Mus musculus: one gene and its partner. The protein of the gene in region 2 purifies or fractionates together with the protein of the main gene of each other region. This does not show direct contact. Links are inferred from orthologs where the notes say so. Each region holds a gene or a part of one and is shown on either strand. Other genes may lie near its edges. The genes, in order: Gng2 and Gnb5.

Region 1 (4,502 bases), on a different chromosome or scaffold from region 2:
CTTATACCCACACCCACAGTGACACACCCATTCCAACCAGGTCACACCTATTCCAACAGGCCATACCTTCACATGGTGCCACTCCCTGGTCCAAGGATATACAAACCATCACACCTGGGTTATCTTACTTGTATAATCCTGTCACCAGTCACCAGTGCTGGGACTCAGGTGCAGCCCCTGAGGTATCATGGTACAAAAGTATAAGGAGAGAGTTGGCTTTTGCGTGATTCCTGAGTTAAGTGGCTCTTTTGTTTGAGGCCCTGAGTGCTTTGCTCCTGGATCCCCACCTGCTAGCAACAGCTCTGTCAGCTCAGTTTTACTGACAACCCTGTCTACACATCTGGAAGCAGAGCTTATGCAGGTGGGACGCAGTCCTTCACTTAGGTCCTCTGGCTTAGCCTGATGAGCTCCAAGGTGGTGGGGCCCAACGTTGGGGTCCCGAGTGGCTGAGTGGTGGTGTTTGGGTCCGTGCCTGTCTATCCTCTCAGATGTTTCTGCCTTCCCTTGCAGGTGTCCAAGGCAGCTGCTGACTTGATGGCCTACTGTGAGGCACATGCCAAGGAAGACCCTCTGCTGACCCCAGTCCCAGCCTCAGAAAACCCCTTTCGGGAGAAGAAGTTCTTCTGCGCCATCCTTTAAGTCTCTGAGAGGAGGCTGAAGAGTGTTGGGGCTCCTGGGACATACATGTAGAGTTCCTAGCAAAGTGGGCGCCTTTCTCGTCCACAGCATTTAAAGAGAGGAAGGAGAACCATCCTGGACACTCCGGGCTGTGCATGTTTAAAGAAATGTCCCCTTATGAGAATGAAAGCTGATTCCGTGTCCCAACTTTAGAGATCTGACCCTGCAGACCGGCCTGGAGGAGGGAAATGTATAAAAAATGAGAATGGTAATCACTTCTTTTCTGCTGTCCCTCTAAGACATTTCTGCTTCATATTTATAAACAAAATAAACATTAAAGCCGGTGTCCTGAGCTGAGATATGGCTGACATTCTGGTAATGAGAATTGTCTTTCAAATACCCTCTGATAAGCTGTCGCCCCATGTAGCCACAATCCAGTTTAATGGTTTCCACGTTTAGTCTTTTGTGCCTTTTTCTTTTCCTTCCCTTTCTTCTCTTTTAGAGGGCTGAGAGGATAAGACTGGGTTTGTGTGTTAGTCTCAACTCCAAGCAGGAATGAACCCTGAGATGTTTAGAAAAGTGTTCCCCATGGGATTTCTTCATGAGAATAACAAGAAAATAGAAAGAAATACATACATGTACACACACACACATGCACGCACACACACACACCACACAATTCCGGCTCTCTGTGTTCTCTTACCACTATTCTTAATATTTGTATATGACAGTTTTGATTCTACGAGTTAAAGTGAACCACGTGTTGTGACTGGTGCTTCCATATCTGTGATAGTTTGTGAGTACTATTGCATGAACATGTCCCTACATCGCATCCATTCAGAAGTTTCGTTGTTCAGCTGTAAAGCTAAGAAGAGAAGTGAGAGAAAAAGAGGCCAGGGAGGAAAAAAAAAATCCTCTGTATTTTGAAAATTGGGATCACTTCAGCGCCTTAGCCATGCCTGAAATACCTCCTAGTGAACTGTGGTAGAAGTATCTCTTGACAGGTTTCCCCAGTCCGCAGCATTTGGACTTACCCAGGATCCAGGGCAGCACAGTTCCCCCCACGCCCCCAACTGGAGACCAGGCAGGGATCCACGATGACTTGGAAAAGCACTGTCAGAATAGCATCTCGTTCCCACGTCCCAGGAACAGTCGAAAGCATATGTAAAAGAACATGTTCCATGTTCATAGCTAGACAACCATGGCCCTCTTTAGCTCAAGCATCAGAAGAAATAAAGCCACAGCTCTAAGGGAGGTAGCCAGCCTCAGAATGCTCGTTTGAGAGACAAAGTCCCTGAATTGTGCTCCGACCAACCCTTGCAGTTGGCTCTCCTTCCAGCTCATTCCCCCAAAATTTCAAAGCATTCCCTGCTTTGCCCTCCACCCCGTTCGTCAGAGCCTCACCACTCTATTTACAGCTTCCTTTGGCTAGAGCTCTCCTCCCACAGTAAGACATTGAGAGTGAGTTTTTTTTTTCATGACAGTTGTCTCCTCCATCAGTAACAGAAGGCCTCGGCTGCCTTCAGACATTTTGTCATCTACCCAGTCAAAGAGAGCCTCTTACGATTCTTTTTGTTTTCAGATCCTAAAAGACCACTAAATCCAAGTAAAATTTCTTTTCTCCTCTTACCATTCTCTTCCTCATGGTTTAAAAGTTGGTGGTACTTTTAAAGGAAAGAGAAGGGAAAAAGACTTCCTATGGCAAGGACACATTTTACAAATAGATGGTAAGATATTTCTCTTAACTCTTTTATGGGCTTTCAGCTAAAGGAGTTAACTATGTCCAATTAAAGTTCAGACCTGGGGTGGGAGAGAAGAGGGTACCGGAATGATTATTAATGTACAAATGCAATTCTGTAGCCGAAAACTTCTGTTCCGGCAGAAACTTCTGTCCTCAGGAGTTTGTTATAGTTTGCGGGACGCTCATGAAGATTTAATGGTAGAAACAAAACAAAACAGACAAAAAGAACCACTGTCAGTCTTTAGAGAACTGCACTGTAATTCAATTATCAATACTGAGGGATCAGCTGAAAGTATCACACATTCAAAGTGAGCTGACATGAATCTGTGTTCACGTGTCAACAGCTGTGACTGGGGCACTCTGTGCTGGTTGGGGGTGGGGTACTCGAGGAGGATTCTGGACTTCTGTGTAAATTGAGATCTCTGAAGCAATTCCAGTGGAAACACAATCTTTAGGGCGCCCCTTATACAGGCCTAACAATTAAAAATTCAGAATTTGCAAATGACTTGTGAGCATGCTTATAGAATAAAAAGGCAGGAAACTCAATCCTCTTCCACATAGAAATTTCAGGAAAACATCTTTTTTACAATTTCATATCCTTCAGTATGGAGCTATAGCTGGAATCAGATTTGACTTCTTGATGTTTGTATTTATTAAAGGGAAAAAGGTTTGTTTACTTGGATCTCCAAAGAGCTTAATTCTTTTCAACGTGAACCATCATTGTCACCAGCATAATTTTACCTTAGGGTAACTAATAGGAAACTTCAGTTTAACTGTTTAAGGCCCTCATTTCTATATACCTGTATAACAATTACAATCTGCCATGGAATTAATAATTAATGTCATACTTATAATGCAGTGTCTATTAAAATACCTGAACCATTTTTAATAATCAACTCCGATTTTAAATGTTTTTACATTCGAAGGTAAAATATAATTTAAATCATTGGATTTAAGAAGACGTATCATACTTTTTCCCATATCCTTGTATTCACACGGTGAGTTTTGAGAAAATCAAGCTGGTGACCTTTAGTGTGTTTTTTTATGTTTTTTTCCCCTTGGTGTTTATTTCTAGCTGCTCCTGCAAATGGCGAATTATATGTATATTACTGTCTCACAGCCCAACAATTGTACAATTGTTCAGAGCTTAACACTTTTCCTGTATAAGATCTGTGGAATGTGTCTTTAAAGAGGGGAAAACAGAAAATGGGGGGTCTTGTGTTTTGGTGGGGTTTTTCCTTTTTGGGTTTTTTTGTTTGGTTGTTTAGTTGGGTTTTTTTGTTTTGTGTTGGTTTTTTGTTTTTTCAAGACAGGGTCTTACTATGTGGCTCTGGCTGTCCTGGAACTTGTTCTGTAGACCAGGCTGGCCTCGAACTCAGAGATTCCCCTGTCTCTGACTCGAGAATAAAGGCATGAGCCACCACACCCAGCTTAGAAATGTTAAAGCAGGAAAACCTGAATGTGATGTGCGCATCTTTACCCCACATGAACGGTGTATTTGTTTTAATAAATGGAATTTTCAGATTCATTTCCTACGGGGTCACTTTCATTGCAAAGACCTGTGGACCACCTCCCACATGAGTATTGATTTAAGAGGGACCTGGAAATATAAAATGTCGGGAAAACAGAGAAAATTATTTTCTTTAGGAGTCTGTTCATAGCAGATTTATCTGGTGCTGTGTAGGAGTCCTCTCCCTTCGTCACTGTGCCTCATGTACAGCCCTTGGGAATGGAGAAATACTGGAGGGAGGGTCTTCAGAGTCCTGCAGGCTAGGAGAGAGAGAGAGAGAGAGAGAGATGTAAGGAGATTTTAACTTGCTGTAGCTGCACAATAATGCCACCCCACCCCCACCCCACTCAGAGTGTGTTATTCTCTGTCTGTGATTTTACAACTATACTAGAGAAGACAGAGCCCTCAGATTCTAGATTCAGTCAACAAAGGCTTCTCCCCTCAGGATGGGAATTGAACCTATGGTTGCATAAATGCCGAGAAAGTTCAGTGAGCTAGATGCTTAGCTCTTCCTCTGCTTTAAAAAAACTCGAACAGGATCTTGCCTTATTGCTCAGACTGACCCTGAACTCAGTCTATAACCCAGGCCGTGCTCACACTTGTAATCCTCTTGCCTCAACACTGCCCCCCCAC
Region 2 (4,509 bases):
CCACATATATGCATACACACATGTATTCATCAACACACATATGTACCCATAAACACACATACCTATGAATGCACGCATATGTACCTATGAACAAACACACATACACAGGCATCCATGAATACACACACACACACACACACACACAGAGACACACACACACACAGACACGAACTCATGAACACACACACATGTGCCCATGAACACATACATACACAGACCCCCATGAAAACACACACTCATTTACCTATGAACACACACATGTACCCATTAACACACACTCACATACTCATGAACACAAATGTTTCCATGAACACACATACACATGGGGATTCACACACACATGTTCCCATGAACACACAAGCACATACTCATGTTCACACACACGTGTTTCTATGAGCACACAAGCATATACTCATGAACACACACACAGAGGACATGGAAGAATGTGCTCAGCAGAGCTTGGAGAATGTCTCCTACTCGCCAGCCCTGCTGTGGCTGCTGCTAGTCCCAAGGTCAAGCTGAGACATCAGGTAATAGCATTAGGGAAGAACATCCCTCAAGTGCATCATGCTCGGATTTGTTCTCCCAGAAGTAGGTCAGGGAGAGCACTGCAGGGAGATGAACCAGAGGGAGAGATTAAGAGGAAGAGACTCTCAAGAACTGTAGTGAAGGCTGAGAGCGTCTCCAGGGACAAAGGTCACGAAGGAATAGGTGTGTGTGTGGTGGCAGGGGGCAGTTCATCAGAAATAAAGAAAAAGATCTTGAAAAATTGCTAACGTTCCAAGTTTGAATAGAGACAATACTGTTTTTCTTAGTCTAAATTCCAAGTCATAGACAGCGTTTATAATGTTCATTATAAATAACTGGAAACAGGACATGAAAATAACTGAGTGTGTGCCCTGTAACTGCAGGTCCTGGACCTGTTCACAAGTCATGGTCTCATGGAGTGTCTTCATTGGCATAACTAGTTTGAATAATTGGAATGTGGAAGGGCTGCAGAGATGGCTTAGTGGGTAAGTAGAGGTGCCTGCTGCCAGGGCTGACAACCTGAGTTTGATCCCCAGAACCTACAGGGTAGAAGGAGAGGACAGACTCCCAAGAACTGTCTTCTGTCCTCCACGTGTGTGGCATGCTCATGTCCACACAGATACATGCAGAGTCAAAAAATACATGCCAGAAACAATGTGAGGTGAGGCTGGACCCTGGGCTCAGTTCCCAGCACTGGCATAAAATGCAGAACAAAAGCAAAATGTCCCTGGCATTAAAAACACATCTGAGGGTTTGAAGTAGCATTGCTTTTAGGTAAACAAGGGAAACAATTCAATGCCCATCAAGGGAAGAGCAGGCAGAGAAAACATAGCATGTCCATGAAGCAGGCTTGTTATCTAGCAATAATGAAGACTTGGCCCTGATTCTCACTGCAAGATGATGCACACCAGAGACATCTTTGTGTCTAAAGACAAAATGTCCACATGGTACCATTACAGGAGTGTCCAGGGCATACAAGACAAGTGAGAGCTCATCCATGGGCGATGAGAAGGCAGCGAAGGGAGAATCAGAGATAGCTCCATGCCAATGGGATTTGGGGGTGGGGTGGGGGACGGGGTACCCTGAGTTAAATAACAGCAAAGACTGGCATGCACATCCTTGTGCATAGATGAAAAAAACATCCAAACATTTTAAATACTGAGTTTCATATTGTGGGCCTGATAGCTCAATGAATTTTTTAAAAAGTGGGCAAAAATATTTGTGTAGTGACTCTTCAAATGAGGCTATTCAGGCAAGTCCCATGCAGAAAGCTGCTACCCAGAATCATTGGTCAGAGTCAGAGGTTAAAACCACAATGTGACACAATTAGCTATACCCAAGAATTCCTAAAACTTATTATATTTAGAACATGTAGAGGTCAAAGGGCAAACATTTTTGGTAACCAGTTTTCTCATTTCACCATATGGGTTCTGAATATCAAACTCTGGTTCTTGGGTTTGGTGTCTTAGCTTGGCCTGCTGAGCCATCTTGCTGGTGAGGCTAGGATACCTAATTAAAAAAAAATTGATATACAGGGGCTGGAGAGATGACTCAGTAGTTAGAGCACTGGTTGCTTTTCCGAAGGACTCGAGTGCATATTGTGAGGTAGACAACTGCTGTAGCTCCTGCTCCAGGGGATCCAGCACCCTCTTCTGGTCTCCAGGCAACGACACTATTATACCTACCCCGCACCCCAACATGCACATAATTAAAAAAAGATCTAAGACAAAAACTTCTGATATACAAAGCATGGGTGAGGATGTAGCAGCTTTCATTGCCTACATCCGGTGTGGGTACAAAGTGGTTCAACTACTATAGAGAACTGACCAGAAACAAACATATATAAAGAATTGCTGTGTGTGTGTGTGTGTGTGTGTGTGTGTGTGTGTGTGTGTGTGTGACAGAGAGACAGAGAGACACAGAGAGAGAGAGACACAGAGAGAGAGAGAAACCCAGCAATACTACTCCTGAGGTCAATAGAAATACATATTTATTTTCTAAAAAAATCCTACCACTGTCATATCAGCTTTGTTCACAAATAGTCCCAGGCCGGACATTTTGCATGTTCACCAGAAATGGACTGGATTCAAGCAGCAGAATACAACAGACCGGGGCTGAGGCAGGAGCAGGTGGACGCCACAGACCCACTGTGGTCATCCATCTGCTCCATCAGCTGTACGCATGGGGTTTGATTGCAGCTGGGCCAATTCTGAAAACCAATGAAGCTATTTTAAAGATGTTTAATTTGTTTACTGATGCCAACACTAATCTGTTTTTAAAAAATCCCTTTATAGTTTTGAGATAAAGTCGCAAAGGTTGTAGAGAAATTAGAATTTACACAGACCAGAACATAAGCACCCCCCACTGTGCACCCACCACAGGATCCCCATGATCCCGGTCTGTAGGAATCCAGGCATTGATGCAAAATTGAGAGCACAAGTTCCCTGAGGTTAAAGAGTACATACCTTACAGAGCAATGAACACCTGGGGTGGCTGGCCAGAAACGAGGGAGGTTACTGCGGTGGTGTGAAGATTTGAGCCATTGGTCACCTAATCCCTTTTATCTGGACTTGCAGCTCAGGGCCTGCTCCTCCCCATCTGCACACGCATGCTCACTGCCGGCCTCTCACTACCTGCAAGCACACACTCGCTTCTAGAACACTCTGTCTCTCTACATGATTTGGACCCCTCATAACTCCCATGTACCCCTTCCTGGGCCCATTTCTTTGCTCTCTGCAGGAGACAGAATCTGATTTGACCTTATAAATCTGCCTCTACTCCATGGAACAAACCTGACATCCTTGTGCTGTGTGGTGAGAGCATCTCTCAGCGCTGGCCTTCCTTCCAACCTAGGCATGAGTGATTTAGGCCCCGAGTAAGGCCTTCTCCTTTCTCCTCTGTGTATCAACTTATTGCTATCCTCAAGTCTCCTGTCTCCAAACAAGGTCTCCTACACTCGAACCCTTGTCATCGCCATGGGATCTGGCCAATTCTATCCCACCACCTAGCATTACAGATAAAATGTAGAATACGATGGAGTCCAGCCCTCTAGGAACTTACAGGATGGCCAAGGTTACTGGTGCACGACCCAGGTAAATGCTATAAAGTGGGCATGAATTCAAGCCAGAAAACCAGAACCTTAGCATAGTGACTCCTCACAGGGTGAAGGAGGACTGGAGTGGACACGGAGCAGAAACTCAGCCAACCCCATCCTGCCAGGGGGCCAGGGGGCCCCAGACACAGTCAGCAGGGTTTCCATACCTCAGGTGACAGACTGTGACTTGTGGAATTCTAACACCTTTCTGTCTGACCCTCAAGGAGAGACACAGAGCTGTGCGGTGAGAAGGCATGTAATCTACAATGGTAGGAAAAAAATGGTGCATCCAATTTGCTCAATAATTTATTTTATTTAAGTATTATAAAGTTCTATTTTCAGCACTTGGGAACAGTTTGGAAAGCCATCATGTCAGTAGGATGACTACACGTTTAGTAGGTGGTACTGAACAATCAACCGGTCGCCCCAGAGAGGACCATTCTGTGGTGTCACAGCTACTGCCTGTGACCATCAGACTGGAGGGTGGTCAGGTTGCTAGGGGTGCACAGAGTGATGGGTCTCAGCTCTGGGTCAGGAGTGCTCATCAGAGGACTCAGTTCTCTGAAGGGAAGGAAAACAGTTTGAGGGAAGGAATAACTAGTTCTCACAAAACCTGGGAAAAGTGGATTTCTCAAAAGGAAGAGCTTCCCCATATCTTCTGTTGTTGTTTTTTTTTTTTTTTTTCGTGAAAAAAAATTTAAAAAGCATATTAGAACACTGATTAGAAAGAGGAAAAAAAAACTTAAGTTGCACACGTGTGCATGTGTGGTGCTGGGGCCAAACCCAGGGCCAACTGCTCTACCACTGAGTTCTGACCCCAGAGATAAATGTAGTTTTAAAAGAAATAGCTGTATTTAAAAATTAAATGAAAGATTATAATAACTATG

The links.
Region 1: the proteins of Gnb5 (region 2) and Gng2 purify together in Homo sapiens (affinity purification with western blotting; 4 studies listed by BioGRID and IntAct, with this or other methods). This does not show direct contact. The link is inferred for Mus musculus from reciprocal best matches to the Homo sapiens genes GNB5 and GNG2.

The regions. Positions count from the first base shown.
Region 1 is NC_000080.6:19,871,944-19,876,445, reverse strand, and holds the end of Gng2 (guanine nucleotide-binding protein G(I)/G(S)/G(O) subunit gamma-2), read left to right. Parts: intron 1-510; coding exon 511-639; 3' UTR 640-3,887; downstream 3,888-4,502. UniProt on the Homo sapiens protein: Guanine nucleotide-binding proteins (G proteins) are involved as a modulator or transducer in various transmembrane signaling systems.
Region 2 is NC_000075.6:75,304,858-75,309,366, reverse strand, and holds the start of Gnb5 (guanine nucleotide-binding protein subunit beta-5), read right to left. Parts: upstream 3,080-4,509; 5' UTR 2,994-3,079; exon of another isoform or gene 1,882-2,993; intron 1-1,881. UniProt on the Homo sapiens protein: Enhances GTPase-activating protein (GAP) activity of regulator of G protein signaling (RGS) proteins, such as RGS7 and RGS9, hence involved in the termination of the signaling initiated by the G protein coupled receptors (GPCRs) by accelerating the GTP hydrolysis on the G-alpha subunits, thereby promoting their inactivation.